3 linked regions of the Caenorhabditis elegans genome follow. The protein of the gene in region 2 purifies or fractionates together with the protein of the main gene of each other region. This does not show direct contact. Each region holds a gene or a part of one and is shown on either strand. Other genes may lie near its edges. The genes, in order: air-1, saps-1 and pph-6.

The links.
Region 1: the proteins of saps-1 (region 2) and air-1 purify together in Caenorhabditis elegans (affinity purification with western blotting; one study listed by BioGRID). This does not show direct contact.
Region 3: the proteins of saps-1 (region 2) and pph-6 purify together in Caenorhabditis elegans (affinity purification with western blotting; one study listed by BioGRID). This does not show direct contact.

What each region holds. Positions count from the first base shown.
Region 1 is NC_003283.11:8,219,669-8,227,996, forward strand, and holds air-1 (Aurora kinase), read left to right. Parts: upstream 1-1,819; 5' UTR 1,820-1,832; coding exon 1,833-1,883; intron 1,884-1,927; coding exon 1,928-1,989; intron 1,990-2,034; coding exon 2,035-2,220; intron 2,221-2,273; coding exon 2,274-2,417; intron 2,418-2,461; coding exon 2,462-2,570; intron 2,571-2,612; exon of another isoform or gene 2,613-2,781; intron 2,782-2,845; coding exon 2,846-3,073; intron 3,074-3,110; exon of another isoform or gene 3,111-3,305; intron 3,306-3,369; coding exon 3,370-3,570; 3' UTR 3,571-3,914; downstream 3,915-8,328. Other genes in the region: cogc-6 (Conserved oligomeric Golgi complex subunit 6), read right to left, coding at 1-367, 416-651, 698-1,211, 1,258-1,398, 1,447-1,536; pax-1 (Paired box protein 1 homolog), read left to right, coding at 5,297-5,456, 5,704-5,960, 6,013-6,369; K07C11.10 (BBSome-interacting protein 1), read right to left, coding at 6,483-6,581, 6,756-6,884, 6,965-7,031, 7,102-7,184.
Region 2 is NC_003280.10:11,291,994-11,301,750, forward strand, and holds saps-1 (Serine/threonine-protein phosphatase 6 regulatory subunit), read left to right. Parts: upstream 1-5,706; coding exon 5,707-5,843; intron 5,844-5,889; coding exon 5,890-6,049; intron 6,050-6,102; coding exon 6,103-6,222; intron 6,223-6,263; coding exon 6,264-6,404; intron 6,405-6,457; coding exon 6,458-6,673; intron 6,674-6,728; coding exon 6,729-7,139; intron 7,140-7,207; coding exon 7,208-7,504; intron 7,505-7,566; coding exon 7,567-7,784; intron 7,785-7,831; coding exon 7,832-8,220; intron 8,221-8,370; coding exon 8,371-8,618; 3' UTR 8,619-9,257; downstream 9,258-9,757. Other genes in the region: C47G2.4 (G-protein coupled receptor-associated protein LMBRD2), read right to left, coding at 1-91, 237-476, 536-623, 675-796, 846-1,177, 1,250-1,354, 1,415-1,483; raga-1 (GTP-binding protein), read left to right, coding at 9,371-9,513, 9,569-9,757.
Region 3 is NC_003281.10:3,458,755-3,470,316, forward strand, and holds pph-6 (Serine/threonine-protein phosphatase 6 catalytic subunit), read left to right. Parts: upstream 1-2,948; 5' UTR 2,949-2,949; coding exon 2,950-3,026; intron 3,027-3,547; coding exon 3,548-3,637; intron 3,638-3,693; coding exon 3,694-3,806; intron 3,807-5,272; coding exon 5,273-5,375; intron 5,376-5,432; coding exon 5,433-5,559; intron 5,560-6,277; coding exon 6,278-6,409; intron 6,410-7,100; coding exon 7,101-7,181; intron 7,182-7,370; coding exon 7,371-7,500; intron 7,501-8,081; coding exon 8,082-8,224; 3' UTR 8,225-8,899; downstream 8,900-11,562. Other genes in the region: C34C12.2 (Fibronectin type-III domain-containing protein), read left to right, coding at 1-255, 718-999, 1,067-1,291; C34C12.8 (GrpE protein homolog, mitochondrial), read left to right, coding at 1,657-1,706, 1,759-1,862, 1,931-2,172, 2,232-2,447, 2,569-2,670; smim-14 (Small integral membrane protein 14), read right to left, coding at 9,198-9,236, 10,295-10,498, 10,927-10,989. UniProt on the Caenorhabditis elegans protein: Catalytic subunit of protein phosphatase 6 (PP6). In complex with saps-1, promotes actomyosin contractility during cytokinesis by regulating the organization of cortical non-muscle myosin II nmy-2 and thus contributing to correct spindle positioning.

The sequences.
Region 1 (8,328 bases), on a different chromosome or scaffold from region 2:
TCTGAATAAGTGGTTCCAAGACATATTCGTAGATCCTTTCTGGTTCAAGAAGAAGATTCAAATCTCCTGTTTTTACAGCAATTGAAATAAGCCCGTGATAAAGTGAAAGGCATTGCCGAACTTCTGGGACTGGAAGGAGATCATAGTGTGGTGATGTCATCTTTCTCATAAGTCCGTCCACGTGATGATTTATACCGGCAATACATACTTGACGAACTGTTTTGACGAGATCTGCGAGCATTATTGTAAAATAACTATCTTTTCGAATCAAAGTCTCGAACTTGTTTGCATAGAAAATTAAAATATTTCCCATTTTGAAAATTGTGATGGCATTTTTTTCTGTCGACAGCAGTTGCTCTACCCTAATCTGTAAACTATTATCATATATTATAGTCCAATAATTTAAACTTTTTACCTTGAACGGCGAAGTCAAAGATTTCAGGCATTCATCAAGAACGATCGGAAGATTTTCTGCGGAACAAATTGAGCTGAACAACTGTTTTTCTTGCTCCGTGAGCTCGTGAATCGAAGTCAGCATATCTCCAACTGCCTTCAGTGGTTCTGCCAACCCTTCAGGCATTTGGACAGCCATTTTGTTAATTTCAACAAACTGATTGAGCAATTCTTGTGAGCGAGATGAAATGTATTGGTCTGAAAACTAGGTTAATGGTGAGTAGATTTGAAGAACTAAACGTACCAATGGCAAGCTGGAATACAGCATCATTCTGACTTATGATTTTGAAAGCTTTAGAAAGAATTTGCTTTTTCTGATGAGAATCAACTGTCAGATTTTGAAATTCGCGTTTCAGATTGTTACAGATAATTGCATGGCTTCTTTCGTCAATTTTTTGCATTTTTTCCATCACTTCAAAAGCGGCAAGATGTCCTTGCTCCTGAACCATATTTCTGCAGTTCTCGCGAATTTCGTGGCACCTCTCAAGAACTTTGAAGAAAAATTCCGATAGATGACCACTTTGTTCACATTCGTCTAATTCTCGAAGCTCTTCACTTGATAAAGAATAGTTTTCGAGAAATTCATTTATCATATTACAACGGCTTTCTATACTCGCTTTCTTCTCCTTCAAGCTTGCTGTTTTCTGCACCAAATCAACACTTTTGAACTTTACAGTCTCCATTTGCTTTGATAAATTCGTGCATGTGGAGTTCATTTTTACACAGAGCTCATCGAATTTTTGCACAATGTTATTTATCTGAAATAGCAGATTTAAAATGAAATGATTTCAGGTTTATTCTAACTTTTTCGAACTCGCTCAAATATTCCTTGTTTAGTCTCAACTCGTATCGTTCTAGTTTATTGTGTAGTTTCCTATCAACATTTGAATCAAGGTTCATATCTTCGACCAGTGGAGTGATGAAATCAGCAATTTTGATGCAATCCTGTAAGAAATGCCATAAGTTTCGTTTGTAATTAATATTTTAGCTGACCTTGTCATTATACAGCTTCTTTGCACATGCAGTAGTCACTTTTTCTCGTAAAGGATTGACTGCTGATGAAGTTTTATCGATTACTGACATTTTATTGATTCAAATTCACCGAATTCTGCGAAAAAAATCGCAGAACTCAGTGGAATAGAAAATGCAGAATTGATTTATTCGCAACGTGTCAGCAACGACACTCCGAAATAACAGAGCGCGTGTTGTTTAGCAATGCCGCTCAACAACCCGCCAAGCAAAATTCATTCAAAGTGACTGCCTTTGTTCTAATTTTTGACGTGTTCTTGAATTAGTCGCGATTTTCTTTTTCCTTTCTCATTAAATTTTTTATTCCTCAATTTTATTATAATATTTCAACTCGCAGAATTACATTAATCATGAGCGGAAAGGAAAATACTGCTCCTGTGATAGACGATCAGAAGGCCGAGGTAATTGTTATTAAAATTAGAAAGGCATCAATTCTAATCTTCAGGTTATTTCACTTACGGAAGATAGCAGACCTCAGAGAGTTGACCAGGCAAGGGAAGAATCATGGTGAGAATAATTGATTTATTACTTTTACAATGTAATGGACTTTAGCTGGAGTCTTGATGATTTTGACGTTGGACGGCCTCTCGGAAAAGGAAAGTTTGGAAACGTTTTCATCTCTCGTGAAAAAAAGACCAAGCGAATCATAGCTTTGAAAGTACTCTTCAAAACACAGTTGCTTCAACTTGGAGTCAGTCATCAGTTGAAGAGAGAGATCGAAATTCAATATCATTTGCGGTATGTTTTCTCGAAGTCATCTCATCCAAATCAATTAATCAATATTATTTCAGTCATCCGAATATTCTCACTCTTTATGGATACTTTCACGATGACAAGCGTGTGTTCGTCATTCTCGACTATGCCAGCAGAGGAGAATTATTTAATGTCCTCCAATCACAACCTGGACACAAAGTGAATGAGGTCATTGCCGGAAGGTGTGATTTTGTAGATATTTCAGAAATATAGTAAATTTCCTCAGATTTGTGCGACAGCTGGCCAATGCGTTGCATTACTGCCATTCGAAAGGAGTTATTCACAGAGACATTAAGCCTGAAAATCTTCTTCTTGATTCGAAGCTCAATCTGAAGGTACGCGTATAAATATGGTTAACTAAGTACTCAAAAAGTCTTCTGCAATGTTCTCAGTGCATCCTTTGGTTCTCCGAGCCGAAAGAAGTCACTAGCTGAAAAAGAGTTTATACTCTGATCACACAGTAACATTGCAATAAAAGCTTAGCTCGAGATGCGTGTGCCGTTCTGCTTTTAATGCGATCTGGTTCCTTTTCTCCTCGGGACAATTACCGTAAAAATTAAATTCAACACATTTTATGCATTCTTTCTAAAAAATAAGACTTGTATTTCAGCTTGCCGATTTCGGATGGTCCGTCGTTGCTGATCACTCGAAACGCCATACATTGTGCGGTACCATGGATTATCTTGCTCCGGAAATGGTTTCCAATCAGCCACATGACTTTAATGTTGACATTTGGGCAATTGGAATTCTTCTCTTCGAAATGCTTGTTGGATATGCTCCGTTCGCCAATCAAACTGGTGATAAATTGATCGCCAGAATCAAGGAGTGCAAGATTTATGTTAGTAATTATGAACTAAATTTGTTAGAATCTTAATAAGCAGTTCTCCAACAGAAATATGTGCATGAAGTGATGGTTTGGGTAACCATTTCATCTTTTCATGTCATATATCTCCTGCCTCTCACGGTTTCATCTGTGAGAAGCTTCAAAGAACTGCAATAGAAGTCTAGCTCGAGATGCGTGTGCCGGTTTGCTTTTAATGCAATATGGTTCCTTTTCTCCTCGGGACAGTTCTCAAACATTCATTTCCATTTTGTTTCCCAAGTAGTTTCATCTAAATTGCTTCTTTTTTGCAGATTCCAAGTGTTGTGACTGACGGAGCTGCCAGTTTGATAAATGCAATAATCAAAAAGGAACCCCAAGAACGTCTCCCACTTGTTGACATCATGGCTCATCCGTGGATTAAGGAAATGAAGCAACGCGAAGACATTGAAGTTCCACTCTTCATTTCGACGCTCACGAAATCCAGTCGCAATAATTCTACAGCCAATCAATAAAAGCTCTGTCTATTGTCCATTAAAGTCTCAACCTTTTCTACTTGTCTTTCCAAACAATTATCATCTGCACTTTCCCTTCTTTAGAACCGTATATCATACGGCTACTAACTTCTTATTTTCGCTAATCCATTTAAGCAATTTATCCGTTTTCATCCTTTTGTTTCTTCTCACACTGACAACGAGAAGGATTTAAATTTATCTAAATCAATTATTCTTTATTTGTGTGTGTGTAAAATCATTAGATTCCCGTGAAAGTACTGTATCGTGTGTTCCCGTCTGCCCCATTAATTTTTTCCCAAATTTCGCATCCAAGTGTCTCGATTATCACATAAACGATGGTGCACCTCTTTGTTCATTGGTTCTCAGAAGAAATACAATGCTTTCTGCTAAAAGCCAAAACTCAAACAGTGGTGGCGGTAAGTAGAAGGCTGCCGCCTTTTTTGGCACTGTTTTGTTCCGCCAAAAAAGTAGCATGGTATGCAAACATTATAACGAGTTAACACTACATTGGTAGGAGTGGGAACGTTTTTTGGAACAGCTAAAGTTTGAAACATAAAGCGGAGGTTTAACAACGTTAAGTGGTATCTGGCAGAGAGCCTTAAATATCGTACATTCGCAAAAACTTTATCCTAGCTAGGTGCTATGTGCTACATGAAAAATTCTAGTTTTTTCTGTACATTTCAGAATTTCAAAATTCGTATAGTACATTTTCCATATCAAATGAAAAAATCTGTAAATTTTGGAACCTCACTATGACTGAGTTCGTGCCGAGACCCACTCAGGAAAACATCGTGTGCCTTTTAACTGATATCTCAGCATTTCGTGAAAATACAATATAAACATTTCTTTCTAATGTTTAATAATAACTGTAATCCTTGAAATGAACTGATCAATTAGATACTAGAATAATGCACAAAAATGTTTAATATTTGCGCGAATAACTGGTCGTTACCATCTGGTTGTTACATATCCGGTGATTACTAACCATTTATTTGATGGAGATTTGGATATATGTAGTCAATTTAGGTGAGTACAAACAAGATGACCCGTAGATATGCACTAGAGGTGTTTGTCAAGTGGTTGATTGGATATGACGATATTACGTTGCTCAATTTTTTGAATTTTTATATTTATCTGTTTTCATAAACAATTTAGCAGCTAGAAAAAAACAGTGACATTTCTCAGGTGTCCGTGTGTTCCATGCCTTCGAAATCGAAGAAAATCACGCAGTCGTTGGTGGAAAAGCAATGCCGTCACATGTGGACTGAGATGTACTAAAAAACCTAAGAATAAATACCGTATCAACACCTGGATTTGACAAGTTTATGTCAAAACAGTTTATTCTTCAGAAATTAACACCACAGGAGTCTATAGGCTTCGAAAAGATTTGTGACGTCAGATATTTAAACCACGAGCTTCCACGACTTCAGATGTTAAAACACACCCGTGTAACTTCATCCTTAAATGGAATCATGGGTAAAACATTGTCAAGTTCAACTGCCTACAGTAACCAACAATCATATTCCCACCGGCTGGTTCCTATTTGGCAAAGTCCCATCGTTTCCCCCTAATAATCTCAACAAATACCTATGCAGCTACTGTTTGCCCCCCCCCCCTTGCCTTATAATAGGCGGAGCCTTGAGAGCTTTGAGATTAAAGAAGCTCTGCACGGACCAGTTACTTTACGGACCACGTACCGCATTGGTACAGTCACACTCGCTCGAGCATGAACTGCGACACCGCTCAACCGTGGATGATGTCTTCTTATCATCCATCAACAACATCTGATGTCTTCTGGACAACAACACCATCGTCTACTTCAACGACTCCAAGCTCTGATAATGGAATTCAACAATATTCGTCGATATCTACGTCATCGGGTTACGGTAAGTACAATTGTCTGTAATTCGGCTTTTCATTTAAGAATTACATGGGTTTTACATGGATTTTTTTAGTAACTTATTCCACTGGCAGTGAAAACCTTTATAGATTCTTAATAATTAGTTACTATATCTTTAAAGAAATTGTCTGAAATCCTTACAGTATGAGATGAAAGTTAAGACAATTCTTTCTAGCAATGAAATCAAGCTAATAGAAACTATCAGTATTATTTTTAACGCAACTTTTTATCAGCCCCTGCCAACTCTCCTGCCAAAACTGCCGAAGTTAATCAACTTGGTGGAGTTTTCGTAAATGGAAGACCACTTCCATTTGAGATGCGTTGTAAAATAGTTGAGCTCTCGAGACAAGGAACACGACCGTGTGACATCTCTCGTCAACTAAAAATCAGTCATGGATGCGTTTCGAAAATATTGACTCGGTTCTCAGAAAATGGAACAATAATGCCTGGAACAATTGGAGGATCTAGACCGAGAGTTACTACGCCTAAAGTGAGTTTGAATCCGGCGTAGATTTTTCCAAAATTTTTTTTATTTTTTTCAGGTTGTTGAATATATTCGAAGTTTGAAGCGCTCTGATCCAGGAATTTTTGCATGGGAGATTCGAGATCGACTTATTTCTGCCGACATTTGCGATAGAGCTAACCTTCCATCAGTCAGTAGTATAAGCAGAATTCTTAGGAATAAAAACGGAGGAAATAGTTCAAGCTCATCAAGCTCTCAACTTCGATACATCAGAGATCAGCTCGCCGAGCAGCAGCAGCAACAACATCTACAACAACATCAGTATATGGAATATAACAATAATGAATTAAATCAAATTTCTGGAAATCTTGATTATCAAGTTTCATCTTCAAATACACCGCCATCTTATGATTCATATCACTTTATTGCAAATTGAATTGATAATTGCGGAAATATTTTTTTTGGCAATCGTATGATTATGTAAAGTTGTACAAAATAAATTAATTGATTGATTATTCATTAATGAGCGAATGTTCATGTAACATTTCGTCAATCATCAGCAGTCCAGACATCAGCTTCCTTTGGCTCAGAAGTTGATGGCCCTTCATTGCTCTTTGGCGACTCGGCCTCAGCAGACTCCGGAGTTCTCTGGAAATATATTTAAAAATTTCAATCGCTCATTTACAACACTGAAGTGTTAAAATTTTAATTAAAAACGTACCAGAATAGTACAATGTAATACCCTATCTGACTCCACTAATTACAAAACATGGTTTTTGGAAAATTTCTAAAGTTTCCAACAAAAAAAACCAAAATTCTCACCGCCTTCTGTCCTTCTGGGACCTGAAGTCTCTCCATCTGCTCACGCTGCATTTTCTCGAGCTTCTGAGTAGTGATGGTCTTCAATGGGATAAGCTTTGGCTTACAGAAGATCGGAGTCAACGTTTCGTCCTAAAATTCATAAGTACCAACAGCAATTAAAATATATCAAAACAATAATTTTCAAAAATTGAACATAAAAAAAACCGTACCTGGAACAAGTAGCACTCGTCGACAAATAACTTCTCTTCCAACTTCTCGCCTTGAGACATTACAACTCTAAGAAAAAATAATATAAATTATAATAATAATATAAAATAATATAATCGATTTTGTGCTCTCACTAAACCTTTCTTGTTTCTCGTTCTTCTCCGTTGCCGGGGCAACCTCTCCCTCGTCAACACCACCATTTAGAAAAGTGACCAGATCCATTTCGAATAGGTGTGTCGTGAGCTTTTTCCAAAAGCACTAATTAGCGAATTGAGAGATGCTGGAGAAATGGTAAATAGGCACGTTGATGTTATTCGAAAAATTTTGAAAATATTATTCAGAAAACATGTGATATCATCTCCAGGGAGAATGAAAATGTGGCTATACGACTGTGGTGATCATATTGAAAACAATTTTAAAAAACTTATGTTACAAAATGTTGAAAATGATTTCCATGATATGAAAACGATACTAGACGAAATTGGTAAGTGTAGGCAGATATAATGTTTGATACTAGGAACACGTGTCAACCGTATTCTCGGATATTCATGGATTACGAATATTTTTTCACAGAAATTGCGATTAAAAATGATTTTGATGCCAAAATTTAAAAAAATGGGATTGCCAGGCTTTCAAGTGGTCAGAATACACTGGCAAAATGCCCGAGATTTTAGAAAAACTGTCACAGATCTGTAAAAACTGAAATCCACAAATTTGATCGTTGGAAGATGATACGAAAAATTGTGATTATGATTTTTGGCAACATACAAGAATGAGGTAACTCTAAATAAAAAAATAAAAAAAGAGTATGCCCTACTGAAATGAGATCCTACCAAGATTGAATACCTTTAGTCTAAGAGTCTAAACTTGAGAACTTCACCATAACTACGGTTTTGGAGCTCTAGATCTAGAGATAGTAAAGTTTTAGAAAATTATCATCTGGCAAACTGGTAAAAACATTCTGATAGTTTGATTTTGATTCTAAGAATGTAATTTCGAACCCTAATGCAGTCAACCACGTGTTCAAATTTCATTCGCTTGTAATACAGTGTGGAGTAATCAACAAGACGGGCTCGTTGTTCAAAACTAAAATTTAAATTCCATTATTTCTCACTCTCGTTTAATAATGGCTTCTTGAATTAGGATGAGATATTTTGAATTCAAAGGCTGAATTTCAAATCTTAAATATGAAACTAGAAATATTTAGCGAACTACGATTTTCGAGATCCCATGTGGATAGACTAGTGAAATTTGAACAGTTGACAGAATTCTGAACACGATGTAATAATCAATTTTTTGGTTGAAAGCATTTAGGTTCGAACACACATTCTTAATGCTGATATGCTGAATAATTTGAATCCAAAAT
Region 2 (9,757 bases):
CACGCAAGTGTTCCTGGATAGTTCCAGATTGTAGCCATTGGATTCGGAGAACGCCAGGTTTTCCAGAAAGAGAGCACGATCCACGAGAACTCTGAAATAAAAAAAGAATTTGATAGAATATATTCTAGAATGATTACCAGAGACATGAAAATTTGTTATTTTTGCGCAAAAAAAATATGATGCCAGGTCGGTCTCGACACGTATTTTCGGTGCCAAACTTGGTTTTCAGAACTCACTTCCACTGCGCCGTCGCATTATTAAGCGTCTGCACCGCATAAATTGTCTTTTTGTGAAGACTAATCAATTTAGCTTCAGAACACGGTCCGCTTTCATCGAGATGAGCATTATCGATTACTTGACGAGATGGGAACAGGTTATCGATGACGTCATCGCTGAATTTTGAAAGAATTGTTCGGACTTTTCTCCGCTGGCCATTTGAGTCATTTTTCATCGAATTGAATAGCACTCTTACTTTCCTGAAATTATAATAATGCAACAATAATAATAAAGATTTTCAAATTTTGTATTTACTAACTTATAAATATCTTTCACATTTTCCTCTGCTTCACTCTTCTCTGACGCAAGCTTTTCGATGTCGAAATAGGTTTTTCGTAATCGATAGTCTGTAATATATCTTCAATTATTATTTTTTTAAAGAAAATCTCTATACTTACGTCGATTTCCATGGTGCCAGAGACTACGTGGCAGCTCGACGAGCCCGTGTCCAAGCAACACTACAAGCAAGAATAATCCCCATGTGTTCGATGCAGAGACCACGATGACTTTTAGGTTTTCTCTGAAAATGTTCAAATGTTGTTCAAATATAACAAGTTTTTGACACTTACATGTTAATAGAAACACCCTTAAACATTGCATAAATGAGAATCGCTAGAAAGCATAACGAATAAATAGCGTAGTAGAGAGCATTATTGATCACTGCCGCACGGATTTTCCCAAGAATCGTAAAGTTTCCAGCTGTTACGTAGCTTTGAAGAAGAGGAAGTATGAGCCATGTAAGAAGCTGTGCACTCCAATATACAACGCGCCAGAGGTTGAACAGAACATCATCGGGGACGTAACCGCCGGGAAGTTCGCATTCCGGAACAACAGGCGCCGGCGTCGATGTTGTTGTGTTTAGAATTCGCTGTCGATCGTTCTCGCATTTGTGGAAGAATGTCTATAAGAAGGTTTTAGTAAAGAAATGTTGATATTTAGCATTAAAATCTCTTTTTTCCGATTAAAAACTCACAATTGCCACATCAAGAGGGAGAACGAACACAATAATTAGCGAGAAATACCATCCAATAAACGTGGATATCGTCACAATTGGATTTTGCTTTCGGATTGTTGAGTACTGAAAAGAATGATGAAATGCTTAAAGTTTCTTTGAAAAAATAATCTATTTCTGGCTTACCTTATTCAATAAATAGGAAGTTAGAAGGAAAACAATAAATAATTGAACGGCTAGCGAAATAGTTCCCATTTTAAATGTTACATCCAACCGATCACATATTCAGATAAAAATAGCATCGATGCGCAGAAAACACGTATTTCCTTCGAACTTTTCACTCCGGGAGGAGAGCAAGAGATTTAGAGAAAAAGAGGAGTGCGGTGGGGCGCACTTGTATTCCCTGCGGACGCATATTTTTCGGGACATGGAAACATGAGAACAATTTTAATATTTAAATCGATACGTGGTGTCATAATGTCCCATTTCGGGTTGATCTACGAGAATTGCGGGAATTGAGACGCAGACTGCTCAACTGATTTCGCATAGTTACGAACGTGCTGACGTCACATTTTTGGGAAAAAATCCCGCATTTTTTTGTAGATCAAACCCTTATGGGACAACCTGACACCACGTGGCAGCAACGAAAGTTTAAAATTACAGTACTCCTTTTGAATGCGCACACCTTTTCACATCTAGCGATATTTTGTCGTGCCGAGACCGGCGAGGACAAAAATCACTAAATTTTCCGTCAGTGTAACATCGAACTTTTCGAGATCGACTCAAACACTGGATTCGATATTCCTATTCTTCGAGAAGCTCGTGCAAGATCTGAAGTGTCGCCTGATCTCTATCTTTACCATTTTCGATACTTTAATCCTGCCGAATTTGATGCAGAGTTTCCAGTTCGGGCTACGTATCACTGTCATGAATTCCCATACATTTGGGGAGTCTACAAGGACAATTATTTCGAATTTAACGATGATGATAGAACCGTCACCGCATTTTTAATCACTTCCTTGATATAAAAGAGTATTAACATAGAATCCTATAGTAATTTCTAAACTGTCAGAAATTCTTTTCTCTCATATTTACAGTTATCGGGCCAAAGCCAGTTACTGATAAACGTCTGAGAACTCCTTAATTTTTTTTTCTAAATTTTAAAATCATTAACACAATTCGAACTTCAGATCTTTCAATCTGGTTACAACTTCTGGGATTCGATGATTCAGAAATTCCAGTTCGATCTCATTACCGGCCTCACTGTTGAATCTCATATTGAAACTACGACGAGTTCTTCTTCTCTAACATTCACTCCTGCTTTAATAATTATTATAGCCATAATTACAAGTGCATAATTTCACGAACTTTATCATGTGATCTCCATAAAATAAATAAATAAAATATTTTAAAGTTCAGAGAACTGCGCTTATTCAGCTTGGGTAAAAAAAAAGAAACAGAAGAGGAATCAGGAAATTTAAATTTAGTGATTAATTAAAAAAGGGATTTTTGTTTTGGAACCGAAACGAGTTTATTTGTCACCGTCTCCGTTATCCATGCTGACCGATATCCAAGACGCCGAATTCGACATTCACCGGGAGTGCCCTGAAAATGATCAAAATATTGACAAAAAAAAACAAAAGAATATTTAACAACTTACAATCTACGTCGTAAAGCTCCAATGCGATTTGAAATTCGTCTCATATTCGCGACACAGCGGTACTTCCATTGATTAATCTGATTGAAGTGGTGACGGAACTCTTGGCATAGGATTTGAGCTCGTTGTGTATCACCGGCAGCCAAGTTCTCGTTCTCCTCTTCCAAAAATCTTTCCAGATTTTGTACATTTTCGATGAACTGTAGTGCTAGACCTTGAATCTCTGCTCCACTCCTTCTGATTTGCAAGCGAATCCGAGAATTTTGAGCAATGGAATCTGGATTCGCTCCGTTTCTGGTACGGTCGCTCTATATAAGCGTTCCTGGCAGATTATCAGACGTTGACGAAATCTTAATGTTGCTTCCACTTCTACCAAATTTAATTCGGCGGCTGCGAGCATCTGGAAAAAATAGTAATTTATGTAGTTTTAAAAAAACAGTTTGAAATTTCAACGGCTGGCTCGTGCGAAGATAAAAGTTATTTTTCTAGAGAATTCTGAAAATGCGGGAAAATCGTCAATTTCATTCTATTCTGAACGATAAAGTAGATCAAATTTGTAAACTAAACAGTTCTCGAAACTAGGCGCCAAGAATAAAACACGGTAATTTAGATCGAGCCGCTGAATTTTTTTGTGAGTTGATATGGACTTGCAAAATTCAATAATTATTTCCACTAAAACAAATCTTACTGTGCTTCCGGTGCCATGTAGTGACTCCTGTCGTATTGTGAAGCTACCATAGATCGTGGTGGCCCGAACAATGATCTAGTCGGTGTGTGATTCTGTTGCTGAGCCATTTGTCGGTTCAAATTTGATTCAAATTTGCCACGGAGGGTGTAAGCTGTTGAGCAGTCATTCTTTCATTGATATTTCTGGATAAAAGTCCTGGCTTGAAATGACTGGAACGAGTTGATTGAGCAACCGATTGAGCCGCCATCGATTCACTATCATCCCAATCCATCGATTCCACGTGGTTATTAGGCTTAGTCTGATAACTTTGCATATTTTCCTTGTTCTCCCGACTTCTCATTGCAGACCAAGCTGGACCAGCTTTTTCCTTGGAAGAAGTGTCACTGCCATTGAAAGGATCGTTGAAAACGAAGCACATGCACCTCTGACAAAAGCGACATCTTGTAATAAATTCTGAAAAAGTGGTGTAAAACTTGTGTAAATTTTCGAAAATAAATTATTTAAAACGAAATATATCCAGATATATTTTGATATATCCAATTGGATCCAAAAAAGATCTCTAGATCTACCGTATATCTTCTATTAATATGGCCTCCCTATTAGACTTGCACTCCCTATTAGTATTGCCCCTCGGAGACCTTCCGAAAATTAGTATGGCACTCCCTATTAGTCTTGCACGCCCTAATAGTCTTGCGTTTACTCTTTTTTTATTGCAATCCCTTATCGCTGATTTTAGGATTTCAACAGAATTTTTTGCCTATTTTGCAACAGTTTTTTACAACATTTCTACGAGATTGAAGTTTTTGAACTTATATGAAAATCAAATTTTCTGAATTTTTACATAAGATTCGAGCTTTTTCAGAAAAAAAACTAGTAAGCTCAAAGTCAGAAATATGCTCTGAAAATTAGTATTGCACTCCCTAATAGTCTTGCACTCCCTATTAGTATTGCAAACGGGAAGGCCATCGAAAAATAGTATTGCAGCCATATTAATAGAAGAAATACGGTATATCAAGAGATGGAATGAAACAACTGAAAGGGCAACATTGTAAGGCAGATAAAATTAAAAGAATGTGGGCAGAGGGAAAGAGAAGAAATAATAGAAAGAAGTCCAGACGTGACAGAGAGGGGTTAGTTAATTGCATATTCACTGTGGGTTTCTAAATAATTGTTTTTCAGAACTTCTGCTTCAAGCGATGCATATTCTTCGGATTCAGATGCGGAGGATGATATCACACAGGATGATGACGACCCGATGCTCCTTAATCTCGACGACTCACTGGATCACAATGTTGAAGCTCGCCCAGAGCAGGAGCCTGAGCCAGATCTCAACATTGTACATTCACCAAATGAGATGGAACAGCCAAATCAAGAGGATCTCGAGCATGAAGGCATGAAGTTTGAAGAGCAGAGTGGCTCGAGAAGAATTGCTCAGGAGAGTGCTTCTGAAGCTGTGACAGATGGTCGATCGAGTGATGAAGATTCACAGTGAGCATCTGAATAAAATACCTTGAGCATCTGAATAAAATACTTTGAGCCTGAGGTTTTGACATTTAGCCAGAGGTTTTTTGTGCTTTCTTCTAATATTTTGACTATTAATAAATGGTTTTCGAAAATCTACACCAGCACTACAGTAATCAATTAAAGAATTACTGTAGTTTTCGCTACGAGATATTTCGCTCGTCAAATATGTGAGTGTACTATAGGTGGAGTGTGAAGGCCACTTCGAAATTTTCGTATTTTTTATTTATGAAAGCATGTTTTATCATCATATAATTCGGAGAAATAACGTTTTATTTAAATTTTCATAGACTAGACTTGTCTAAAAAATGTGTCTGCATTCTGGCGTGAAATCACGCGCACCCGCGCACAAAATTACGCAATAATGCACACTCTGCGTTTTGCGCGCTATTTTTTCATTCTCGTTTATAAAAACATTTTCCGTGGCGCTGGTATCATCGTTTTCTCTGATTTTCTTGTAACTTTCTTGCGAGTTTTATCGCTGTTACTGACGAATATCGTTTTTTATTTTGTTTTTCTCCTAGCACCGCCCGGCGTTCTTTGTGTTATCATCGTAGCCGTAAATCGATGCCCGCTAAAAAGCTATCTAAAATGTTTACCAGCATTTTCCAGATGTTCTGGGCGAAAGAAGAAGAGGAAAACTCGCTGATGCGATTGCTGAAGACCGACAACTTCACGTTGGAAGATGTCCTGCTCAACGAGTTCGTTGTGCAGGAATCTCGATATGGAAAAGCTGAATTGGTTCAATAGTAAGTCTCCAGTTAGCATTTATTTTCATAAAAAGTATATTTTCAGCATCACAAGCAGGGAAAACATGAAGGCGTTATTAGAGCTCAGTCTGAACCCCAAAATCAACACCGATCTGCCGATGAAACAACAATACAGGCTTTCTTTCATAGCCTCGGAAATTCTCACGATTCGAGGAACTGATGTGTTTCAAAAACAGATTGTCACAGTGAGTCAGGGTTGAATCGCATATTTTATAATTAATTAATTAATTTTTTTCAGACGGAAGAAACAAGGAAATGCCTGGTCGATTTTTTGAACGACAAAACTCCATTGAACCATCTCGTTGCCGGATTCTTCGCAAAAATCATGGAATGCCTTTTGTCAAGGCATTTCGACTTGGTTCGTTGAATACGAACACTCCAAAGACCCTCTGTATAAAGTTTCAGACGTTCAGTCTTCTCCAAGAAACCAAGTTTTTCGACAAATGCCTCCGAAACATCAATCTCGGAGCAATCGAGTGTCTTCTCGAGAATCTGGTGCGAATTCCAACCACAAGTGAGGGAACGAGAATTGTGAAGGAGGTATCAGAAAAATTGTATTTAAAACCATTCTTGCCGCAACTCTCTATTTACAGTGGATGATATCTGAAAATTTATTCGAGAAGATTGTCGATCGGATGCGGGAATCAGAGACAGACGATGAAAAGGAGTGTCTTGCTGAGGTTTATTGCGAAATTCTGCGAGAGTTGAGGGATAAGCTGTACATTATGGAGAGCAAGGTCGATGAGTTGCACGCAAAATCAATGGATGAGACGTTGATTGCTAAAATTGCAGATAATCTGATTGTTGAGGTAGTATTTACTGGCATAATTCCAAAAGTCACATCTATTTTTCTATTTTTTTTAGGAAGGTTGTCCCGCCGAGGAGCTCGTCAAAAAGTCCGCCCTTATTAGTGCATCAGCTAAAATCTTGGAGGCTTTCATCAAGACAAACTTTGTTTCAAATGCACCTGCCCAGCAGCTTGAGGAAATAGAACGAAATTTGATTGAGGAACGACACTATTCCTATGGATTAATGCGGCCGTGCATGGACAACGATCCGTACGAGCATTCCTATCAACCGGATCCCGAAAGAATCGTCGAGGGGATTCTCGCGAATCGGCTGCCCAACATTCTTCAGACAGTCCTGCGAGATATCGAAGCGAATGGTTCAGTTTGGCAACCACTTCTGCGATTGATTATCGAATTGTGCAATACCAATTGTATGTCAACGCATGAGAAGATTGCAGTCGCTTTCAGAAGTCTTCCCTTCATTAATGTATGCATAATTTATTTTATTTCTTATTTCTTTATCAAAAATTTGAATTTTAAATTTTAAATTTTCAGTTAATCAAAGCTGCAAAGATGCTGCCTCGTGCCAGTGTTCTCCACTGCCTCCTCGTAAAAGTTGTCATCCTACTTCTACACTCCAGCTTCCCATGTGATGAGCTGTCTCCAGCTGCAGAATATTTGCTCACAGAAGGAGGACTAATTCAGAACATATACGATACAGCGACCTCTCCAAATCCTGGATCCTCGGTAGCTTGCAGTGGTCTCCGATCGTTCAATCAAAACCTTGGAGATGCTATCAACCGTGCGAAGAAGGCAGGAATTCCCAATCAGAAGTTGCTTGCTATTTTGAGTGTAAATAATTTATTTATTTATTTATTATCGTTCTTTATATATATTTTTTATAATTTTTCCAGGCAGACAACACATGGACAGAACTCGAAGATATCATTCATCTTTACAACTTGAAACATCGCCCTCAGATGCAACACGATTTTAATGATTCCAGTGTGGTCTCATCGATTCGAAACGACAGTCACGGTTTCAACGATAGTGAAGAGTGGACTGATGCTTCTACGAAATTCGCCGAAATGGATGCAACATCATCTGCTAAGCAAGCGTTTTCTGGTTTTAGGTTAGTTATTAAATTATTGCCAATTTTACGTCTAATCTATTTTTTAGCTCGCCATTCGAACCAAATATGCAGCGATTTTCCGACTTTGAAGGTCAATTTGACGACACGCCGGACGAGGATGAGTTCAGAAAGTTGTGCTCAGAGCGAGCCAACTCCTCGTCGTGCGCTGGAATAAGTTTCGAGACGAGCCCAATCAAATGGCCTGGAGAGGCAGAAAAGACATCAGAGAAGGCGTCGGAACCACCGAGTGTCGTTGCCAGTACGTATCCACAACAGACAAACGGGAATCAGGCTTTTCTAGAACAGGAAGAAGGAGACGGGGAGTGGGTGTGGCCAACTGTGCCACCACTCGGGGAAACCGAAGTTGTCACTCAGACTGGACATCGTCCGGAAAATAACTGGGTTGACGAGACGGCACCTGACTTTTCACATTTAGGTAATAAAGCTGGACATGATAGGTGGGATTGCAGCCACCATCAAGTCTGTAGATTGTTGCACGTCGGTTTCCCTTTCCGATTTCCTGGAGTAAGCCATCCCACCTATGTTGAACCAATTTTATTACTCAATTTAAAATCAATGTTTTCAGACATGGCACCCCCAAAGGAAGACGATATGTGGGCCGATTTCTCCTCGTTCCCAACCATCAGTCCGACTGCAGCTGCAAACTCGGCGTCGTCCAGTAGCTCCGATGCGTGGCCTGGATCAGACATTCATCTTCAAGGGGAAGCGTCGGATTGGCCGTTGAACAACTCGCACGAATCGAAAGCATCCGACCCGGTAATGGTTGGACTTGCTGCGAGTATATCCCATCCTGGAGACAGCAGCGAGGCTTGAAGCCCTTGCAACTCGTGTCATCCCCAATTCGTTTCACATCCCAATTATTTTCTACATTTTTCTGTTTATAGTCTTGTATGCAATTCACTTCGAACTTCCCCCTCATTTTCAACCAGAATTCCAAAATTTTTCTGTGTGTGTGTGTTTCTTGCAAATTTCACTTATTAATTTATCAATCTCGATTTTGCGGTTCTTTCCCATTCTCCATTCGTTGTTCATGTTTCCCCATATTCCCACCGACTTTAAAACCGTTGCATCCGATGCACTTAGAATTTTGTTTCCGAATTTTCCGTGGCTTCTCATCTTTGCTGGTTTCTTCTAAAGAACATTATCTTATCATTTAAAAAAAGTGAGCGCCCCCAGTGATAAGAAGCACGGCTTATTTGTTACTTCTTCTAATACATAATATATGATTCTCGGGCAACTTTTAATTTGGTCCAATCTTTTCCCCCTCTACTCTTTTTCTTGTTTAGGTGGTTATTGAAATTCAATTATTCTGATTTCACCTTCATTGATTGTTTATCTCGTGTTAGTGAGTATCAGATTTTCCATTCCATCCTATTTCACAATTCGTTGCATTCAATAATAACTTCCCACTATTTCTTGTATTTCTTCCTCTTTCATGAGTTTATAAATTCTTTTTAAAAAATTATAGCTTGATTGAAAATTTGGATGTTTTATGATCATTGTTCTAATATCTTAGTTTTGTTTCAAAGATCTTCAGAAAAAAACATAATTTATTTTCAGAAAAGATGTCTTCAAAACGAAAAGTTCTTCTGATGGGCAAAAGTGGATCCGGCAAGACTTCGATGCGTTCGATCATATTTGCCAACTACATCGCCAGGGATTGTTCGCGTCTCGGGCCAACAATCGAAGTTGAGCATGCTCATGTCAAGTAAGGGATCAATTCTGGATCAATTATCAAAAGAACACAATTTTTCCTTTTCCAGGTTCCTCGGAAACATGGTTCTTCACTTGTGGGATTGTGGTGGTCAGGAATCATTCATGGAGAACTTCCTCGTCTCGCAAAAGGATCAGATCTTCAAGAATGTTCAAGTGCTCATATACGTATTCGACGTGGAAAGCCGAGAGTTCGAGAAAGATCTCAGATATTACCAGTCTTGTCTCGAAGCTCTTCT
Region 3 (11,562 bases), on a different chromosome or scaffold from region 2:
AAGCCAGAAGGCTTCACCTCAGCCTCTTACAAAGCTCAGTCAGAAGGAATGAGCTCGTTTTTGAAGACTGGAAGCTCTGCAACTCCTGAAAATTCGAAGAAATCAGCCCATTTTGACATGCCGGATATTTCCTCAACGCCTTACAAATCTCACGTGGTGGTGGAATCGGACGAAATGAATAGTTCTTCGAGTACAATTGGAGGATTTGAGTCAGAAAAGAAAGATAATGGAGCTCTCGGAAGCCAGAAATCTCCTGTTAGTTATAACGAAAAAAATTGCTAAAAAATTTACTTAAAATTCCGCGAAATTTTGCCAATCTGTCAGTATCGATTTTTTCAATTTTTCAGGAAAAAAAAGTCAAATTTTAAGGTTTTTTCAATAAAAAACTTTTGAAAATGAAAAAATCCGCCAAGACGATTTGTTCGATGGGGCGCGCTTGCATTATTTTTTGTTTTTGTTTTTTTGTCCTAATTATTTCACTGAATTCCTTCATGTTTTGTGTATTTTTACTGAAAATTTGAAAAGCTAATGAACAATTTGCATTTATCTTGACTTTTCATTCAAATTTTCAGTGAAAATTCACAAAAAATGAAGAAGTTCAGAGAATTGATGAGAAAAAAAAAACAAAAATTAAAATAATGCAAGCGCGCTCTATTGAACAAAGTCTCTTGGCGGTAATTTGAATATGAAACTGGCAAAAATGGAAAATTATTGCAGATGCCCGACATTGCCACAGCACTTCACAATATATTTGATTCAAAAGAAGTTCAAAGTAGTTCTTCAACCACCGGAAGCTCTGCACCGCCCGAAAATTCGAAGAAATCAGATCATTTTGACATGCCGGATATCTCCTCAACTCTTTACAGATCTCGTGTTGAGCCAATCAGCAGCTCTTCCAGTGGATCTACCAGCACAAGTGCTCCGAGATATGTGCCAAAACCAATAGCCCAGCCAGCTCGATATGCAATTCCAAGTCCGGGTGCTTTGAATGCCTTAAGAGTGAGTGACAGCCGGAATCGCTCAGTTTACTGGAGCGCACTTGCAATAATACATACTTTTTTTTCAGCGTCCCCCAGAATGGAAAGGTCAGCGCCGACATGCGCCGAGTTACGTGAAATCCAGAGAAAGCGTCACGTTCAGAGGATGCTCCAGATTTCCAGTCACATCACCGCATTTCGCGAAAGCTCACCTGGAACCTGTGACTGATGGAAAAGATGATTCGAAAATTGTCAAATATCGATTTGTACCGAAGCGACCAGATTTTGATGGAGAACGCGAACATAAGAAGTGACAAATCTTGGTTTTTTTGTGTTTAAGGCTTTTAGAGCATTGATAATAAATTTTTTGTTGGATTTGCTGTGTTTTTTTGCGGAAATACACAGATTTTTGCAGAAAAAGTTAAGAAAAAACTGCTACAGTTTGCCCTTTTCCACTTTAAATTGCCGCTTAAAAACTCCTCGAAAAGAGTGTGCAAAGCATGGAGACGCAGACACGCACGAAAATCACGCCAGCACGTTACTGGCGCACTTGAGTCATGTGCTGGCGCATTTCTTGTCATGATGAAATTTATTAATTTTTTCTTCGTTTTTTACCAATTTCCGCCGATTTTTCGTTTTTTATTCCTAATTTCTTCAAATTTTGGCAATTTCAGACAATATGCTGCGCAAAGGAGTGTCTTTCGTCGGCCAGGCTGTTCAACAAACGCTGTAAGTTCCTTGAATTTTGAATAACGGTGAAAATCAAATTTTTTCATTGCAGGAAAACTCAGAAAAACTTGCGCATTCAAAGATTCAGCGCCACGGCATCACAATCATCGGAAGAAGTCAATTATGAGATTAGAAAAGACGGAAAGAGACTCAGAGGTAGCGATTTTTACTCTAAAACAAATTCTAAATTCTAAAAACTGATATAATATTTAAAAAAAAACCAGGAGCCGACTATGAAGAAATTGTTCTTACTTCGATTGCCGGCGAGGACAAGACACAGATTCCAAAGGGTGCTTTTGATGTTCTTCTCAAGGAATACGACGATTTGCAGGCCGAAAGCTTGGATTTTAAGGATAAATATCAAAGATCGCTTGCTGAAACTGAAAATGTTCGTCGGCGAGGTATCAAGCAAACCGACGATGCTAAGGTTTTTGCAATCCAATCATTCTGCAAAGATTTACTTGAGGTTCGATTTTTAAAATCAAAATCAACCGAAAAACAATTAAAATAATTCCAAATTTGCAGGTCTCCGATATTCTCGACATTGCCGTCAAGTCTGTGAAGCCAGAAGATCTGGAATCGGGAGGAAAAGCTCTGAAAGATCTTTTCGAAGGAGTTTCAATGACCCGTACTGTCATGGCAAAGACATTCGCAAAGCATGGCCTTGTGACCGTGGATCCAACCAATGAAAAGTTCGACCCCAATCTCCACGAAGCCGTTTTCCAGATTCCATCTGCTAATGTTAGTGCTAACCGCCCGAATTTTCCGAAATAAAAGAGCCAAATCTTGTATTTTTTGAACAATTTGGGCTTATTTAATCCTTTTTAAATGCCACAAAATGCTTAATTTCCTCCATTTTCAGGCCAAACAACCTGTCGGACATATCGAAGTGTGTACAAAGATCGGCTACAGCCTGAAAGAACGTCCAATTCGGCCTGCTCAAGTTGGAGTCGTCTCTAAATAATTTTCTTTTAATTTTCCTCTGGTTTTTTAATGTTTTTCCGGTTTTTTGTAGTTTTTTTTTGAATAGCTAGTAATTTTTATTGTTTTTCTGTTTTTTCCGTTATTTCATCACACTCCAATCACTTTTTCCCGCCGTTTTATAGGATTCGAATGAACAATTTTTGAGTTTCAATTCCCTTTTTTCCACTTTTTCGATAGGTTTTCAGCCATTTTTCATATATTTTTTAATTTTAAACAGGAAAAAAGCTTCTTTTTCATTTAAAACCGTAAAATTTTCAGAATGATCGACACAAACCTTCTTCGGGTGACAGTGTGCGATGAAGGAGAGCTCGAAAAGAGCACAACGCATTTTATTGGGTACCAAATTTTGGATATTTCAAGCGAAAAATGCGATTTTCCAAGCACAAATCGCTTTGTGTCGATTTACGCAGCTCGTGTACTCCTCGAGGAGAAGATTTTTATAGTTTTTGGAGAAAATGCTCAATTTTTGACCAATTTAACATTAAAATTGTCATTTTAATTATTTTAAATGAAAATCGACTACAAATCATCGTTTCCAGCAGTTTTCCATATTAAAAATGCTGAATTTCAGCATAAAAATTACCAAAAAAGCGAAAAATCGGCGATTTGAACGTTAAACTTTTAAAAAACAGCGAAAATGTAAAATCTAGCATTTTAGTCGAAAACTAGTATTTTTCTCCTCGGGGAGTACACGAGCTGCGTAAATCTACATTAGGCGATTTGAGCTTGGAAATTGATTTTTTTTACTCAAAATTGAAAAATTCTGCGAAAAATTTCGAATTTTTTTGCAAATTTCTAAAAAAAAACTTAAATTTCAGCTCCAAAATTATACAAAACTTAATTTTTTTCATTTCCAGATCTCGAAAAATAGAGCCGGAGCAATGGATTACGTGGGCGAGCGAATGCAAATACTTGCCCGAATCTGACGCTGTTGCTCTTTGTGCAACGTAAGAAAAAAGCAATTTTCAGCAATTTTCGGCTCAAAAACTGAACATTTTTTCAGATTAATCGATCGTCTATCACTGGAAGCCAATGTGGTGCCCGTTTCGTCGCCTGTCACAATTTGTGGAGATATTCATGGACAATTTTATGATTTACTCGAATTATTCAAAACTGGTACGGAATCGGATTCGAATTGGAAATGTCACAAAATTGGATGAAAAATTCAAAAAATCAGCCGAAAAATCGAGAAACTTTCCGGGAAAATCGGAAAATTAGCCAAAAAAAAATCGAGAAATTGGATAAAAAAATTCGTAAATTGAATGAAAAATTCAAAAGTTGAATGAAAAATTCGAAAATTTGCCGGAAAATCGAAAAAATCGATAATGTGTCGATTTACGCAGCTCGTGTACTCCTCGAGGAGGAGAATTTCACTGTTTTCGGGCCATTTTTCGCTTTTTTAACATTAAAATTGCCTTTTTCAGATGGAAAAGTATTTTACTACTGCTAAAAACGAAGAATTTTCATATTTTCAACAATAGAAACCTAGATTTTCGCCTAGAAATGGCGATTTAAGTGTTTTTTACAACAAGATCGCGAAAAAATAATTAAAAATCAAGCATTTTAGCCGGAAAATTGTGATACACTTCTCCTCGTGGAGAACACAGCTGCGTAAATCGACACAGGGCCGTGGAAGAGGCCATACGGTTTTTTTTCTGTTTTCAAACATGAAAAAAACTCGAAAAATTCATTTTTACAGCTAATTTTCGATTTTTCGACGGAAGAAGAAGTTTTGGCGACGTTTTATGTGAAAAATTCAAATATTTTGGCAATTTTGAGTGTTTTTTGTGGAAAAAGGGTGCAAAATTTGAAAATTTATAATTTTTTCAAGTTTTTCTGAAAAAAAAACAATCGTTTAAATTTATTAATTTGAAAAATCGTCGAAAATCAATAATTTCAGCAAAAAAACTCTAAAATTCTTCTCCTCGGGGAGTACACGGGCTGCGTAAATCGACACGAAACGATTTTTCATCTAAATTTAGAATATTTCACCGAAAAATCGGTATAAATCTAGAAAAAATCACTTTTTTTCATGCGAAAATCCTTTAAAAAACAGTTTTTATACGATTTTCTTGAAAAAAAAGTCAAAAAATCGATATTTTTAATCCAGAAAGCTTAAAATTTCGAAAAAAAAACTTTTTTTCGTAAATTTTTTAAATAAAAAATGGCGAAAATATATTCAGCAAAAAAAACTCTAAAATTCTTCTCCTCGGGGAGTACACGGGCTGCGTAAATCGACATAACGATTTTTCATTTAAATTTTGATTTTTTCGACTGAAAAATCGTTAAAAATCTTGAAAACCCCACTTTTCAGGCGAAAATCCTTAAAGAAACAGTTTTTATACGAATTTCTGAAAAAAAAAAGTTTGAAAAAATCGTTTTTTTTTTATCCAAAAAGCTTGAAATTTCGATTAAAAAAACCTTTTTTCGTGAATTTTTTCAGTAAGAAATGACAAAAATATATTCGGCAAAAAGCTCTGAAATTCTTCTCCTCGGGGAGTACAAAGCGATTTTTCATCTAAATTTTGATTTTTTGAATGACAAAAAAAAATCGTGACGTGACCCATTTTTTCTCATTACAGGCGGCACAGTTCCCAACACAAAATACGTATTCATGGGAGATTATGTGGATCGAGGACATTACAGTCTGGAAACTGTTACACTGCTTTTTTGTCTTCTTCTCAAGTATTTTTTGATTCTTTTTCCTACCAAAATTTCTGTAAAAAACTCCAAAATTTGCAGATATCCGAATCAAATCACACTGCTCCGCGGAAATCATGAATCTCGTCGAATTTCCAATGTTTATGGATTCTACGATGAATGTCAGAATAAATATGGACACGGAAATGTGCACAAATGGTTCTGTAAAGTAAGGAAGCGATGGAAATTGAATGGAAATTGGAAATTCGTCGTGCAGAAAAAGCGATAAAAATCGTTAAAAATTCAACGTTTTGGCGAAATTATACGCGAAAATTCATGAAAAAATGATTTTTGTGCGATTTTCTGATAATTTTAAAAATTTAACTGAAAAATTGGCTGAAAAATTCAAAATTCGTTTCAAAATGGCTCCAAAAGTAAAGCTAAAAATAAGTCGAATTTTTATAAAATTAAAAATTTCATATAAACTTTCCGGAAAATTGTTTTTCTGTAATTTTCTTTTTTAAAAAACTTCAAAAAAACATGAAATCCATCAAAATTAGTTTTTGTGCAATTTTTGGACTCAAAAATGCTCGATTTTTTTCTGGTTTTTTTAAAGAAAACCTTCAATCTGCAGAATGGAAAATTTCCAAAAAATATTATTAAAAATGCTCCGTGAGCTCCCAAAGTTCTTCTCGAAAATCGCTTCAAATTATTTTTTTAAACGAGAGGTGATTTTGTAGAATAAAAATGACGAAAATAACTTTTTACTGTCAATTTTTGCGGAAAAAATCCGAGTTTTTACGGGATAATTGGCTCTTAAAGTGCTCAAGCACTAGATTACGTGTCGAAAAATACAATTTTTAGCCGATAATTGTATCGAAAAGGTATTTTTTCACCATTTTCATCAAATTTTCAGTTTAAAAAACTAAAAATTAATTTTTTTTCAGGTATTCGACGTTCTTCCAATTGGAGCTTTAATTGATGAATCAGTACTGTGTGTACATGGAGGACTTTCACCTGATATTCGAACAATTGATAGTCTTATGTTACTTGATAGAGCTCAAGAAGTTCCTAATAAGGTTGGAAATTTTAATTTATCGTGAAAAATTAATCGAAAAATAAATAATTTACCGGAATTAATCGAAAACTAAATGTTTTTATTTGGAAAACATTGAAAATTTAGAGATAAAAAATATAAATTTATTCAAAAGTTTCATTTTTCTTGGAAGAAAATCCGAAAATTGAGAAAAAATATACGAGAAACTATAAATTTATCAAAAATATGCAGATTAAAATGAGAAAATCGAGAATTCGGGAATTTTTGGAGAATTTTACTCTAAAATACGAAAAAAAAAATTGTTTTTTTAATACGAAAGTCTTGTTTTAAAAAATTGAATAAAAAACCGAGAAAATTTGAAAAACCGAAATTATCAAATAATGATTTTGATGAGAAAAATCTTAAAATATATTCAAAAAGATGAACAATTTCGATTTTGAAAAATCCAAAAAAAGATTATTAAAATTCTTTGGATTTTCTCATAAAAAATTAAAAAATTAACTTTTCGATTGCAAAAAAAATTTTTTTTTTCCGAAAAATGAAAAATTCTCGTTTTTTTTTCTTCAAAAAATTGCGAAAAAAATACGAAAAATTAGAAAATTTACTCAAAATATATGAAAATGACTGGAAATTTTCAAAAATTATTTTTTTTTACTAAAAAAAAATGGAGAAACTCAAATTTTCAATTAAATAAATTATTTCCAAATTTGCAGGGTCCTCTATGTGACATAATGTGGTCGGATCCGGATGATGACGTCGAAGATTGGGTGATTAGTCAAAGAGGAGCTGGATTTGTAAGAAAACTGACTGATCTGCCGAATTTGGGCAAAAAAAACAAAAAAATTTGGATTTTTTCTTTTTCCAACTGAAACTTGATAGTTTTTTTTGTTTTTTGGTCCGAAAAAACCTTTATTTTTTTTGCCAAAAATACGACAGCCCTGTCAATTTTGGAATTTCCACTTTAAAATTAATTTTTTTTGCAGGTGTTCGGAGCAAAAGTGACAGAAGAATTCCTAATGAATAATGATCTTTCACTACTTTGCCGGTCCCATCAACTCGTTGACGAAGGATTTAAGTATATGTTTAATGAGAAACTCGCTACCGTTTGGTCGGGTAAGAATTTCTTTTATTTTGCTGAAAAATTAGAAAAAAAATTCCAAAAAAAAGATTATGGGTCGATTTTTGAAAAAAAAAACGGAAATTTTCCGATAATTTCCCGTTTTCGAACTTTTTTTGAAAAATTCTAATTTATCAAAATTCATTCAAAAAACTCAAAAAAAAAATCGAAAAACAAAATTTTCTCGGTTTTAAGAATTTCTCCTTTTTTCCGAAAAAAAGTTTTAATGTTTTTTCATTAAAAACTGAAAAAAAACTGAAAAACTTAAAAACTTGGAAACTGAAATTTTTTTAATCGCACAAGCTGGAAATTTTCTTGAAAACTGAAAAATACCTCAAATAAACTGAAAAAAGAGAAGAAAAAACTATTTTTCAACTGAAAAAAACTGAAATTGCTAAAAAAATTATTAAAAAACTAAAAGAAACTGATTTTAAAAAAACTGTAAAAAAAAGGATTAAAGGAAACGATAAAAATTTAAAAACAGAAAAAAGAAAATAAAACACTTTTAACTGAAAAAACTGAAATTGCTTTAAAAGTTATTACAAAAAGAAATTTCAAATAAATGGATAAATTGCAGCTCCAAACTACTGCTATCGATGCGGAAACGCGGCGGCCGTATTCGAAATCGACGGAAACAATCGCTCGACGAAATATTTCAACGCAGTTCCCGATGGAAGCCGTGAGAAGCCGGATCGTGTCGTTGCTCCGTATTTCCTCTAAATATTACCTCACACCTGCCTGCCTATTTCTATTTCCGCCACAGCTACATAATTTAATTATTCTTTAAAATTTATGGTGGAATAGTGTAAATCGCTTTTTAAAAAACCCAAAAAAAAACCTGCCAAAATAATTGAAATTCCAAAAAAATCCCACAAAAAACAATAAAATTCAAGCTAATTTCCCGTAAAATTTGACATTTTCCCCTGATTGGTCAAAAAAGGGCGGAGCAAATCGCTGATTGGTCCTGCAATCAGAGGCTTGTTAATTCTTTTTTTCGACCAATTAGCGATTAGCTTCGCCCATTTTTCGACCAATGACCGGGGAAATTTGTCAAAAGTTGAGCAAAAAACATGAATTTTTCATTATTTCTGAATTTTTTCCGGGTTTTTATCGTTTTTTTGTCAATTTTCATCATTTTTTGCTATTTCAAAGCAAATTCACGCTATTCCATCTTGAATTTTAATGTTTTTTGTCTGGAGTGGACCCCCTATAAAAGCCTCGGTTCCTCGTGTACTTGATCTTCATTTTCCCCCATTTTGTGTGTATTCTCTCTCTGATTTTTCACTTTATTCTCATGTTTTTCCTTCTTTCAGCTCCTGTTCACTTTTTTCCGTCGTGTTCCCCCTTTCTCTTTCTCTCATTCCTTAATTTAATTTTAATGTGTGAACAATTATCTCTCTCGAATAATCTCGAATCTTCATTCATATTCCCAGAGAGACGGAAATGTACAAGAAATTGGTAGGGACTAGTAGTAGGCGATTTTCACAGAAAATTTGACAAAAAAAAAGAGAGACGAAAATTGTGATACCCAAAGCACAGGGGAGAGAAAATTAAAAGCATATGAATGAATAGAAGAGGAGGACCCAGAGGATTCCAGTTGCAAAAATAAAACTGGATTTTTTCAATTTATACACAGGAATGGTTGGTGGCAGAGGAGAGTGTTACAGAAGACGGACGGTAGAGGATTTCAGATTTACATTGCAGATGGCGGTGGAGGTGGTGGCGTGTTGTCCTGGAAATTGGAATTTTAAAATTTTATAGGACGCGTACTCCCCGAGGAGAAGTTTAGAACATTTTAAAATTTGAAATAGTTTAATTTTATATTTAAAAATCTGAAAATCGATAAATTTTGTTTTTTTTTTTTCGATTTTTTCAACAAAAAAAAACTATCGTATGAACCAAAATTGAAAGTTTTCTAGTTTTTTTTTGTTGATATTGCGTAAACACAAAGTTCTGACGCTCAAAATATCTCGTAGCGAAAACTACAGTAATCCTTTTAACGACTACTGTAGTTTTCGCTATGAGATATTTTGCGCGTGAAATATGGTGTGCAATACGTATTCTCTGAATTTTGCGTTCACGTAATACTAAAAAAATAAACAAAAATTCCAGGGAATATTTTTAAATTGTTTTTTTTTCAATTTAGCAATAAAGTCCAAAATAAGGAACTGGGTATTCCATATCCCCTAAAAAATTTTTAATTTTTTTTTTCAAAAATTCAAGTTAGACTGTAGGACAAACACCTATAAAACCCGGTGATGATTTCTTTTTTCGCGTCTCTGATAACTGATTGACCGGTCAATGTATTGCCGGGCGGGCACAAAAAAAAAAGATTAGAGACGCAGAAACGCGCTCCACTGCCAATTGAAAACGCTCCGCCCCCAAACAGTTGGGTCTCGTTAGGAATTTGGCGGAAAAACTGGGAATTTCGCTGATTTTTATGCCGAAATTATTGTTTTTTTTTCGATTTGGGATAGAGAATACATTAAAAACAACGAAAACTGCTTGAAAATTTGAAAATCCGGTTTTCCCGCCAAATTCCTAACGAGACCCAACTGTTGGGGAGCGGAGCTTTTACGTTTAGCCGTGGAGCGTGTTTTCACATCGATTTCACAGGTGATTTTTTCTGCGTCTCTCTAATACAATAAAATTAAGATACTTGTGCAAAAAGTACCGTAGTACTTTAAAGGCGCACACCCGAAATTTTAATTTTTCGTGGCGAGACCCAAAATTGGCCGTGGAGCGGGTTTTCTGCGCTCTTGTGATAAATCCGAACTTGACAATACTAACATCAGAACTTCCAGTTGGTTTTTCAATTGCTGCATCATCGGCGGTTCTTCTATCAGATCTCATTGAATTGGGTCTCATCACGTAAAGTGCCATTGCCATAAATGTCCATAAAAGTGTCCACATCATCATTGTATTGCCACCTTCACGACTCAAACCATCATTGTCGCAACCCGTATCTGTGCAGTCCGCTTGCGAGTTTCGGAGCTGCAAAATTTTGATTTTTTTCAAAAACATTTTTTTTTTTTGGAGTTTTATGACGATTTGCAATGGGTATTCAGATACGATATGTTGTGATTTTGTGCGTCGGGGTCTCGACACGACAATTTTTTATTTTTTTGTTAACTGCGAAAAAGGCGTGCGCCTTTAAAGGGTACTGTAGTTTCAAAGTTTAGTTGCTGCGGAATTTTCATAGATTTTTAGTAGTTTTTCGACAAAAATATAATAATTTTTTGAACCAGAAGAAAGCGATAAAAACAGAAAAACGTTTGAAACTACAGTACTCTTTAAATGCGCACACCTTTTAGCATTTCATATCAAATTTATCGAGTCGAGAGCCGAAAATTTGTTTTTTTTAAATTGTATTGGCAAATTTCGCGCTAAACCCCGAATATTTCCATAATTATTTCCCTTACCATAGCCAAAAGTCTTTGCATAGCAGATTCATGATCGAAGAAACATTCACACGGATCACTCATTCTCTGAAATTGCGAGTTTCCGTCGTTGAACTTCACAGAATCGAGAAATGAAACGAACAGAGAACGTGGACGGGAAAATATAATAAAAAATAAAAAAAAGTGGGCAATGCAACGTTGCCTTACAAAAATATTGCTCAATGGGGAGAGATTGCGAGAGAAAACAGACAAAAAATCAGCTGGGAGACGACGGGTTGTGATGGGAAACCATGCACATTTTTCATGAATTTAATGACTTGAAGAAGTGAAAAAATAATGCTTTCAGAGCAAAAAATGGTGAAATTAGAATTTCGGCCAGTTTTTTGTTGTTTCCGGATTTTAGCCTAAATTGTGTTTTTTCTCTAAAAAATTACCAAAAAATGTTGCTGAAGAGTTGAAAAATTTTTGAGCATTATTACCCAATTTTGCGATTACGGTACCGGTACCAGGGTCTCGACACGACACATTTCTCTCAAATACATGTGACTTTAAATGTGTGCCTTTAAAGAGTACTGTAATTTTGAACTTTTGTTGTAGTTACGGAATTTTCATAGATTTTTTTGTAGTTTTTGTCACGAATTGTTAAAAATTTATTCG